2 linked regions of the Kluyveromyces lactis genome follow. The main gene of each other region encodes a partner of the protein of the gene in region 2 in a complex. Links are inferred from orthologs where the notes say so. Each region holds a gene or a part of one and is shown on either strand. Other genes may lie near its edges.

Region 1 (4,408 bases), on a different chromosome or scaffold from region 2:
CCGAAGAGCAACCTTTCGAATCACTGATTAATATCTTGGGACGCACATTGCTTGGCCGGGTGTATTGAATAGAGCACCAAATGAACCAAGACCTGTGCTAAGACCTTGGGTTAAGAGCTTGTCATAGCCTCTTCTCATGCACTCAGTGAATAAATTGGTATTCCAGGGTTTACTTGTGGTAATAGTGGGATATTTCTGTTGGACTGTGCATAAAGATGTGCAATGGCAGTTATTGGAACAGCAATGGGTGGATATGAAGAAAATCTCTCAGTGCAAACGATCTTATGTTGAGAATAGATGTAGTGAGGGAATACGGCCGGCTTTAGCTGGGAAATGTGATGAATGGTGGCATTGTGCGCAGCTGGACTCGCACCCCAGCGTTCATCAGATGGCCAATTTATATGCCAAGACACTTGCACACACGTTAAATTCGTTTATACAGGCACTTGCCTTCAAGACAATAATAGTACTGATGCTATTTGTATTGCTTATATCAATTTCTAGTAAACTACTTCAGTAGTTTCTCTGTGTACATATATATCACGTATAAAGAAGTTACTTGCGAAGATCTTTTCTCCATTGTTTGAACGAATTTGATAGTATCTCTTCTCCTTCCACCAGCTGCTTGTATTCTTCGTCGTCAGACTCAATTTCCGTGAGTTTTAGGTGATTGTTCTCAAAGATGAGTTTATAGGCTTTAATTGTGTCAATATCGTCTTCTGGTCTTGGAATACTTGTCAATAACCACTCTGTGAAGGCACCATACCATTTTATGGCATCTACACACACAGTTTGCATCTGTGGGTTGTTGTTCTTCAATATTAGCGGTACCTCAGATGTAGTGAACTCCTCTACAGTTTTGAGCATGAAATTGTCATCTCTAAACCCATATATAATTCTGTTTATTCCTACTAGGAAACACTGTAACCAGGTTTTAAACAACTTACGTTCGAATTTATGCGCATCGGAAACGGTATTGACCATTGTGGTACATTTCAACTCTGCGTAATGCTTCAGGTTGTCATCTGAATCCTCTTTAAAATCAAAAATACAGTCCACTTCTGCACCGATCAATATCTTACATTTACCTATTCCTGTTCTAACCATTGAGATGAATTGGTCCCCATTGTTAATAATCTTTTTAGGTCTCTTTTCCAATGTAGTTCTGGGTACCAACGGTAGTGGCAGCGATAAGGTTGCAAGTGCTTCAAATTTGTAACCACTGTAATATGCCCTTGCCTGTAACGACTCCCTATTCTTGTTAATGGAGGTTTCCGAAGCGTCTGTCTTGACTTCCTTAATGAATAGTTGTCCATCAAACGAAACAATACGGAAATTTACCGGATTGAACTGTGATGAATCAAAAGCACTGGAGATGAGCTTCCGTATGATACCTCTGAACGTAATGATATCCACCTTCGTCTTCTTACTCTTACGTCTCTCATACTCTTCCAAAGTCGAAAGTAATCCATGCAATGTTGTAGAGTCGAATTCTTCCGTATTACACTCTTTGAACTTCTTGATTCCACTTAAAAGATCAAGCTTCTTGTCTAGATCCGTATCTGGCAAGTAATAGTATGCTAGCCTCGAATCATCGTTGACTAAAAATCCATTGTCCTGTGTTCTCGAATAATGACCTAATTCTTTTGGTTGCTTCAAAGCAGTAGTTGTACTTCTTTTTTGAACGAAAAGACTGGAAGATAGTACCATTATGCAAGAAGTCTATTCAAAGCTACCAGGTTTTCACGTTCTGAACTAGTCACCACTATAGAACACCTCCTCGTCAAATGTTTTCTTACATGTGTCTTGGTGATGAGATTCTTTTAAAGCTTTAAATGCATGAAAAATTTCCAATTGTAAAGGCCTTATTGTATGCTGTCTGCAAGATAAAAAGACAAAGAGAGAGTACGTTAAAATACAAAACAAATTATTTCCCTAGGAGGTATCACTGCAGGAAACTATCCTGGATAGAGATATTATAGAGCTTTTAACAATTCAATTGCTATTCATTACGTGTTTGATTACATGAAGGTTCTCTATTTATCGTTGATAATAGACTAGATACAGTGCAATGACCGGTTGATAATGATAATACAATAGTAATAATAATAATATAATATAACCAGGGACAAAAAGAAAATAATAAGATCTCGAAATAGTTCGTGATATGATTGATAATGGATCAAACATGGATTTATTCTTTATGTCAAGACATTAGTTTTTTATGCATTTGTCAGACTGTACTTCTGCCTTGCCAGCGATGAGAGTGTTCTCTCTTATTAACAAAGGCCAAAGAGGAGTTATAAAAGAACATTAAGCTGAGCGAGATAATTGATGCTCTAGATTTTGCTGTTTCTGTTGCTGTTGAACTCTACTGCGAACTGAGGAGACACTGTATAAAGCAGCACCTTCTCCGGTGACACCAACACCTGACAACATTTGTTCTTGTTCTTCTGTCTTGTAATCCAATGCATTCAAGGCTTCTTCATCCTTGTTGTAGTGGTGGAAACATAGCCAGAACAAACAACCAGCAATGAAACAAGCAACAGCCAAACCAGAGAATGTCCAGACGTACTTTGGATTTTCGGCTGTTGGGGACAAGGCGATACCGAGAGCAGAACCGACAGCGTTCGTGACCAAAAAGATGGACATGATGAAGGCTTTCATTGTGGCTGGGGCTTTAGAGTAAGCGTATTCCAAACCAGTAATGGACGCGAAAATTTCAGAAAGAGAAATTAAGACATAAGCAGGAACTTGCCAGCCGATATGGACTCTGTTTGGAGTGTTTGCGTATTCTGGTGCACAGGACATTGGGAAGTCGTAACATGGACCTGCTTTGTAAATAAAGTGTTGCAAGACAGCAGCGTAAACCATGGCACTAGAACCGAAACAGAAACCAATGAAGATCTTGGTAACTGGTCTGAAAGGAGTGAAACGTCTGATAAATGGGTAAATGAATTGTTCCATGATTGGGATGAATACAATTAAAGCAATAGAGTTGATAGCTTGTAAGAAATCATTTGGCAAACCGTGCAATTCCATAGTACCAGCTTGGGTAACGAAATTGTTAAGCATTTGACCGTAAACAACCCAGTAAATTGGGTAAAATGCGAAAACTTTACAAGCCTTGAAAGCTCTTCTAATTTCATCGATGAATAAATCATTCCATGGGTACTCCTTTTCTGGGTTCAAAGATGGAACGGCTCTATTCAAATTGAAACCGTTGCATAAACCAATCCAGCAGATTTTGAAACATCTTGCAATGACATGGTCACCAATGGGCCTCCTCACGTACTTCTTTCTACCAAACACAAGCACCACGATACCGACCCAGAAGAAACAGAAAGTTAACAAATAAGCAGCCCAGAAACCGTAACTAGCTTCTAAATGGGTGGTTGCCATGACAGATAAAGAACCAATATTAATCATCAAGTAGAAGAACATAAACACATTTTGCATTGTAACATTGGGATCTTCGATGACTTTTTCACCGTTCTTCAAAACCTTAATTCTAGGCCTTGTCTTTGGGATTTGATCTGCGATCAAGACGGACAAATTAGCTTTGATAAAACCAGTACCAATACCGATTATAATCAAAGAAACGATAAATCCACCCAACGAGGAGTTTTTATCGTTGATACTTGGGATTGCAGTCATAAACAAGATCAGGATACCAACAACATAGAAACTGGCACCAACACAGATAGTATTATATTTACCCCAGAAAGTATCAGCCAAATAACCACCTAACAATGGAGTAACGTAACACCAAAACTGGAAGAAATACGACAAAGCAGTGGCACCTTGTGATTTCAACTGCAAGACACCCTTTGGTGTGTCGTTAGGACCGTTTTGCATATAGTTTTGGAATGGTGCAGAAAGACCATAGTATGAGAATCTTTCAGCCAATTCAACGATGGCAATCAACCAACAAGTGAATGGAATCCTTTCCGACACATGTCTCAAAGTACTCAACTCTTCTTCGGTAGGTTCTCTTCCATTTTCGTTTTGGTTGTCATCTTCGTCTACAGCACCAATAAAATCGATTTTATCAGAACTAGCATGATGGTCCTTTGAAATATATACCTTGATGTCTGTGTTGTTTTTGAATTTTTCATCTTTCTTCTCACCAGTAAATTCATCATCACTACTAACTGTGCTGTCAACGTTCAATGCCTGACTGTTGTTGTTGTTGTTGTTGTTGTTGTTGTTGTTGTTGTTGATGATATCATCACTAATTTTGTCGTCTGTCAAGAAATCCTTTTCTGCGGCGGACATATTTGCTTGAACAAAAGGTACGGTGTGTGTGTCTTATAAGTTGAGAGATGGACCTTTATTGGTTGGACAAAAAGAAAGGCTGTAACCGAGAAGACAGATTTTTGACACAAATCTGTAGGCATACTCGGAA
Region 2 (6,440 bases):
TTAGATTGGAATCTCCACGATCCCCCGGTACGTGAGGCGACAATATGGTCCAAACGCTTTCTTGACGAGGAGATAGACATAGAGTTTTGCTTGAAAATTGCATTAATCAAAGTGGGTGATAGGTCCTTGTATTCTTGAACCAACACTTTTAAAGCTTGTTCATGCGATAAATCATTCTGAGAGTAACCATTTCTTGCTTTCGTAGCCGGTTGATACGTGAACTTGTCCCTCAAAAGGGAAGAAGTAGAGTTACTTGATATTGGCGATTCATCTATCCGCGTACCAGTTTCGGGCCTTAACGGAGAAGATTCTTCATTTGTCTGTAACAAGGGAGATGAACTTGGAACTTGAACTTCATCCTGTTTGTTCTGGGGACTTTTCGGTATTGGAAGATCCATTACAGTGAGATAGTGAGGGTCAAAAAATGCAATGAATAGGTGATCGAACAGCCGACCTTCAACACTCCAACTAAACGGAGTCTCCTAAATTTTTGCGATGAGCTTTGTTCATCCACTACTATGAAAACGCCAAAGTAACATTTTTGGTATTAATCATTTCACGAGTTTAATGGCTTTAGCTGAGGTTTTCATCATCAAAGGTTTGGCAAAGAAGAGCCCGTACACAAGCTGATAAAAAGTGAAAAAAAGAAAAAAGACTTCTCTTGAAAAACTGAAAAAAATACTCCGATACGGGGAGTCGAACCCCGGTCTCCACGGTGAAAGCGTGATGTGATAGCCGTTACACTATATCGGATAATTGTTATACAGTTGGAGAAATATTAGACACAGTAGTGAAACTACAAATCACGTGTATTTTGTATCCAGGTTCATGATACTGGAAAAGGAGTATCTGTGGAGCTGATCACTGTCGCGAATGCTTCTACTCCTGTTGCTCAGTAATATGCTTTGGATGTTGATGTTATAGTATGTATTACAAATAAATGTGCTGATATAAACGGGTATAAAATTGTCCACAGTTCATCATCTTCTGAATTCCCTTCTTCTATCGTTACTATTCGAGTATCGATTGCTATTACCTCTACTGTTGTTATAATGACGGTTGTATTTGCCGGTATTACCATTATTATTATCAGAATAACCGTTGTTACTATTATTGTAGTTTCCATTATTATACCTAGACTGTTGATATCTGCTGCCCTGTGGCTGTCTCTGTTGCGAGTGCATATACTCTCTATTTTGTTGCGGTTGTTGAGCATAAGCTGTCTGTTCTTTATGGAAGAAGAAACTTCTGTAACCTCCAACCCTGGGCTGATATTGGGTAATCCCCGATGGGCCAACAGGCACAATGTTGTATTTCATCATGGAAGGATTCCAACGGTTACTGTATTTATAAATGATACAGTCTCGGTCCTGTGGGGTAAGCATTGGTTGAGGTGGGATATATCCGTTCAATACTAACGATTTACATCTACCCGCAACCACAGGCTGCGTATACGAAAGTTTTAGGAATAAATTTGTACTCAAATCTGGCAAACCACCCCCATTAATAGGACATATCAGCTTGGAGTTTAGTTCAAACCCTTCTTCAGCTTGTGTTACGAATCCACTTAAACCAGATTTGAAATGTCTAAACTCTATCACGTTAACGGGGTTTTCTCCATATAAATTCTTCATAAACAGGTCGTAATTCACATTCTTGTTGCTGATCAAAAGTGCATCCTTCTTCCTAACATTTCTTGCCTTTTCTGAATCAGAAAGCTTAGAATATTGTTCTCGAACTGTTTTCAGTAAACGTGTTTCATCTATAAATGGCAATAGTGCAATACCCTGCCAAGCCATCTTTTTACCATTCATATCCACTGGGAATTCTTCAGGATAGAAATCTATAATCTCAGAGTTTGGATCTGACATTAATGGTCTGAATATTTCGGGTAGTGCGTGGCCTGATGCTGCTGGTAAAACACTCATTAACTGTTCGTATGGTAAGAATGGTTCACCAAGATCAAAGTGAATATCTAGATTTTTTATATTCTTGAAATCCTGAGCAAAAGGAGCATAATGGTATGGATAGTACCAAGTCCAAGACGCACATCCCTGATAATAATATAATAAAACCCATGAAATACCTTCCACATAGCACCTAATCACATCCTTTTGCAGAGCTGGAATATCTTTTGCTGGAACATGGAATTTATGTTGATAGTAACGATCATGATATCCAGGTTCGTAAAGTCTAACCGACTCATCGGTGTCAATGAACCCTGATTTTACAATACCGGTGTGGATGACCGCTGGTGGAACAGTAGAGCCTTCGTCTTCATCATAATCGGCCTCATCATCCTCAGGTTCATTGGATGTTTCCTTTTCAGCAGAGTCAACATCTTCACTTTTCCGTTTCAACGACAATTCTTCTGCATTTTCCTCATCTCTCATTGCCATCTTCTTAGCAATAAGTTTCTCCTGTAAGCTGGTAGCAGCATCGTAGTTCGCAGTCTTCGACAGTTGCACGCTATTTTTCAATTCTTCCGATGAAAACTCGACCACACCGCTATTCTTCTCACTTTTTAGTTTCAAAGCTTTAGCTGCTTCGCCATCACCTTCATTCGCCAAATTAATTTCTTTACGCATATTAGCGAAATCCTTATTAGACAAATTCAAAGAGCCTTCAGCGGCGTTGCCATCAACATCATAGACCGGCATATTCTCCAACGGAATCATAAAATTTCTGTCGACCTTGCCCTGGGAAACATTGGGGTTACTTTTCAATTTCTTTCGCCTATCATGAGCCTCTTGCTTACGAACTTCCTGAATGTATTTCTTTTTGAAAAGATCTGTTTCACGGTCTCCTAATTGTTCAAGTAAAGCTTCTACAGGTTCCAAATTGAGTGTACCATCACATGTTAGGTAGGTTTTTGTTTTGGGCAACACAGTCTTCCATATATCCACCAAAATGTCAATGCTATTCTCTCTCACATCAAGACAAGGTAAATGCGGTAGGAAATCATTACCACAGAAGAAACACATGAAAACCCAATCGTCGATTGCTCGTTCAAAATCAAACTGGAACGATAAATGTGGAATCGCTAATTCTGCTGAAAGATATTCTCTTAAAACGCTGATATGGAGCCATAAGAATGGCTTTTCTGAATCTTGTTGAATAAGCTGTTGTTTCTCTTCTTCAGATAAATTTATCATATCTTGAGGCTTTGGTTTTTTATAGTTGTTATTGGCGAACACATCCTCTCTTAATATTTTGAAATGAGGTTCGTGGGTTGCTAGTCCCAAAAAGATCAAATCTGCATCTAACCCATATATACAATGTGTTGTATTTGGATTATATTGAGTGTCTGCTCTTTGAGATCTAATGAAATTCATTATTTTATGTTCACCTTCACCTGGAACAGTAGCGTCACTTATAATAATTTGTAAATTTTTCCACCCGGGATCAGTTGCTAACTTGAAACTTGTCCAATATCTTAAAGCTGTAGCTAGTTTATCCATAAATGGGGTACCTGGAGTAATTGCGTTTGAATCCCATGTCTTTTTACTTTTGACATTTTCATCAATCGTCTCACCATAGTCCTCTCTTTCTCGTAATACTTGCTCTCTGGCTTCATTTTGGAGTTTTGCATCCCTTGCACTACGAAACCTACGTGCTCTCTGTTGATTCATCTTCGCTCTTGGTGCAACACCATCAACCGCTATCATCAAGACTTTTCTTGGTCTGGCCATATTCAAAACGCGATTTGTGTACTCAAACACAGCAAGAAGCATTTCATCCTCTGTTTCAGGTGGTGGCTTATTCTCCGGATGTGAACAAGGGTGAACAATACCATTCATATCGAGATAAAGGTTATCCAACTCACCATTGGGATTGGCCGAAGAGTAATCAAGCGGTAGTTGAACACCATCTTCGATAACTGGATATTCTTCCAACACAGGAGAAATGATTTTAGGATATTTCCTAGACAACCAACGAAAAAAGGACGGAACACCCATTGTGAGTACCTGGCCTTACTTCTCGCTATTTGTACCAACTGCCTATTAGATTACAGTATGCATTCATCTGTACTTCTAAAGTTATGTTCATCTCATCGATTAATTTTACTTATTGTTTATTGTTACCCGGATAAATAACTCAGCTCATCAACGATGTAGTGACAAACCGCTTTGAGTAACAATAATACCAGTAATTGCTAAACACAGCGCTTGGTTCACTGTACAATAAACTCATCCAGCGATTCTATTATACAATCTTTCGTTTATTACGAATATGAATTTTATTAATGTTATAATACAAGTACTGATATTTAAGAATTGCAATAGCGTAAATAGCTAAGGTTACATCAATCTTTCCTGAAGTTCAATATCATCACCTCTGTTACTGTTTCTACCAAATCTAAGCCATGACAATCCACCGGAAGCTTCCATTGATTTGATATTGAGTGAAGGCGGTGTCCACCTCTTCAACATTAGCGAACTGCAGACCACGGACACGGAACTTAGAGCCATTGCAGCACTAGACAACATTGGATGTAAAGTGATACCCCAAGGAGCTAATAAACCCATAGCAATGGGAATCATGAATGTGTTATAACAGACAGCCCAAAAGAAATTCAGCTTCACTCTATAGAATGTTTTACGCGCAATATCAAGTGCATAAACCAAACCTTTTAACGAATTATTTTTATTATCCGAATCAAGAATAACGATATCGGCAGCTTCGATTGCAATATCAGTACCAGAAGATATCGAAATTCCTAGATCTGCCTCAACCAAAGCCGGAGAATCATTAATACCATCTCCGACAAAGGCAACCCTCTCTGTACCGTTGTTTTGGAGTTGAATGACAATATCACGTTTCTGCTCAGGAGTGACTTCACTGAAGACATCATTAGCGGATATGCCAAGTTGTTGTGCCACTTTCAGAGCAGATTGATGCGCATCTCCTGTGACCATGCAGCATTTAATGCCCAAATTTTGTAAATATTCTACAACAAAATGTGCGTCTTCTTTGACCCTGTCAGATATTTCAAATTTGCCGACTAAACTACCATCGATGGAAACATAAGATTCTGTTAAAGTAGAAGAAGCGATATCACTCAAACTCTCATCGGGAAATAATTTCTTGTTACCTATGGTTATTGTATGGATTTTAGAAGTATTTTTATCTGTGATGTTACAGGAAATTCCCTTTCCAATGAGAACTTCCTCATTCGATAAATCCAAATCGAAAATGCTTGATTTATTTACGTGGGAATCAGCATAATTGACAATAGCTTTTGCAACTGGATGTTCTCCTATTGATTCACACAATGAAATCATCTTCCAGTGTAAATCAGATACATCACTGTTATAATTAATGAAATTTTCTACACTCATCCGCCCCGTCGTGAGGGTACCTGTCTTATCGAACAAAAACGTCTGTAGAGCACTACACTTCTCCAAAACATCACCACCTTTGATGAGAACACCATGACTAGCACCTACACCAGTACCAACCATAATCGCCGTAGGTGCCGCTAGACCCAATGCACAAGGACATGCAACAATAATTACAGAAATAGACATTTGCATGCACATGAAGAATTTGCCATTTTCACTGTTAAAGATGAGAGGAGGAGTCTTCATCGTGTAACTCACAAGCATCCAAGTTATAAATGTTATTGCTGATAGTGATATCACAAACGGGACAAATATGCCCGCCATCTTATCAGCGTATTTTTGAATAGGAGCTTTAGATAACTGTGCCTTTTTCATCGTTGCGATAATGTTCGCTAATTTTGTATCTTCTCCGACACGAATAGCTCTGAAGTAGAAATGACCAGGTCCATTGACACTCCCCCCGATGACTTGAGATCCGACGATTTTTTCCACCAACATCGATTCACCTGTGATTAGCGATTCGTCAACTTCAGTTTCATTACGAATAACAACACCATCAGCTGGTATTTTCATTCCTGGTACGACTTCTACGATATCATTTGGTTGTAACAATTCAACTGATATTTCCCTGGTAGAGCCATCTGGTAAAACTATGGAACAGGAGGACGGGGTCAAAGAGATGAGTTTACTCATTGCAGTTGAAGTTTCCGATTTCGCTTTATTTTCGAGTAATTTGCCCAAAGAAATAAATGTGAGAAGCATGACAGCGGTGTCAAAGATGACTTTTGGCATTTTTGTCGATTTATGGTAAATGCTAGAAATTATGGAATAGCATGAAAAAATATATGCACAAACAGTAGAAAGACCGATCAAAGTGTCCATTGTACCTGAGCCATGTTTCAAAGAGATCCATGCAGCTTTATAAAAATAGGAACCAACATAGATTTGAACGTAGGTAGTAATGATAATTCCGATGATATCTCTATAAAACAAGCCAATAATTGGTGTTTGTACGAATGGGAAATGAGTCAACACAGCTGGGAACAGCATCGGTACACACATGTACAACCCCATTATTAGAATAGAAGAAATACC

The links. Proteins that work in one complex are often made in the same cells at the same time.
Region 1: the proteins of RAT1 (region 2) and RAI1 are in contact, whole or in part, in a crystal structure (PDB 3FQD), measured with the Schizosaccharomyces pombe proteins. The link is inferred for Kluyveromyces lactis from reciprocal best matches to the Schizosaccharomyces pombe genes dhp1 and din1. Residues at the interface, in NP_594155.1 of Schizosaccharomyces pombe: Arg218, Val219, Pro221, Glu222, Asp318, Arg321, Leu371, Asp372, Lys789, Ser843, Phe845, Val846, His847, Lys848, Ser849, Met850, Leu851, Leu852, Arg853, Gly854, Lys856; in NP_594904.1 of Schizosaccharomyces pombe: Tyr45, Tyr46, Pro47, Ile158, Trp159, Asp160, Ala161, Cys162, Ser163, Arg164, Ile167, Glu168, Trp204, Asp205, Lys206, Glu231, His236, Glu288.

What each region holds. Positions count from the first base shown.
Region 1 is NC_006041.1:1,139,854-1,144,261, forward strand, and holds RAI1 (decapping nuclease), read right to left. Parts: upstream 1,711-4,408; coding exon 556-1,710; downstream 1-555. Other genes in the region: BRR6 (Brr6p), read left to right, coding at 137-520; PTR2 (Ptr2p), read right to left, coding at 2,314-4,278. UniProt on the Schizosaccharomyces pombe protein: Decapping enzyme for NAD-capped RNAs: specifically hydrolyzes the nicotinamide adenine dinucleotide (NAD) cap from a subset of RNAs by removing the entire NAD moiety from the 5'-end of an NAD-capped RNA.
Region 2 is NC_006042.1:701,474-707,913, reverse strand, and holds RAT1 (ssRNA exonuclease RAT1), read right to left. Parts: upstream 3,960-6,440; coding exon 981-3,959; downstream 1-980. Other genes in the region: DNA-dependent ATPase FUN30, read right to left, coding at 1-398; Cu(2+)-transporting P-type ATPase CCC2, read right to left, coding at 4,302-6,440. UniProt on the Schizosaccharomyces pombe protein: Possesses 5'->3' exoribonuclease activity. Required for the processing of nuclear mRNA and rRNA precursors. May promote the termination of transcription by RNA polymerase II. Essential for vegetative cell growth and chromosome segregation.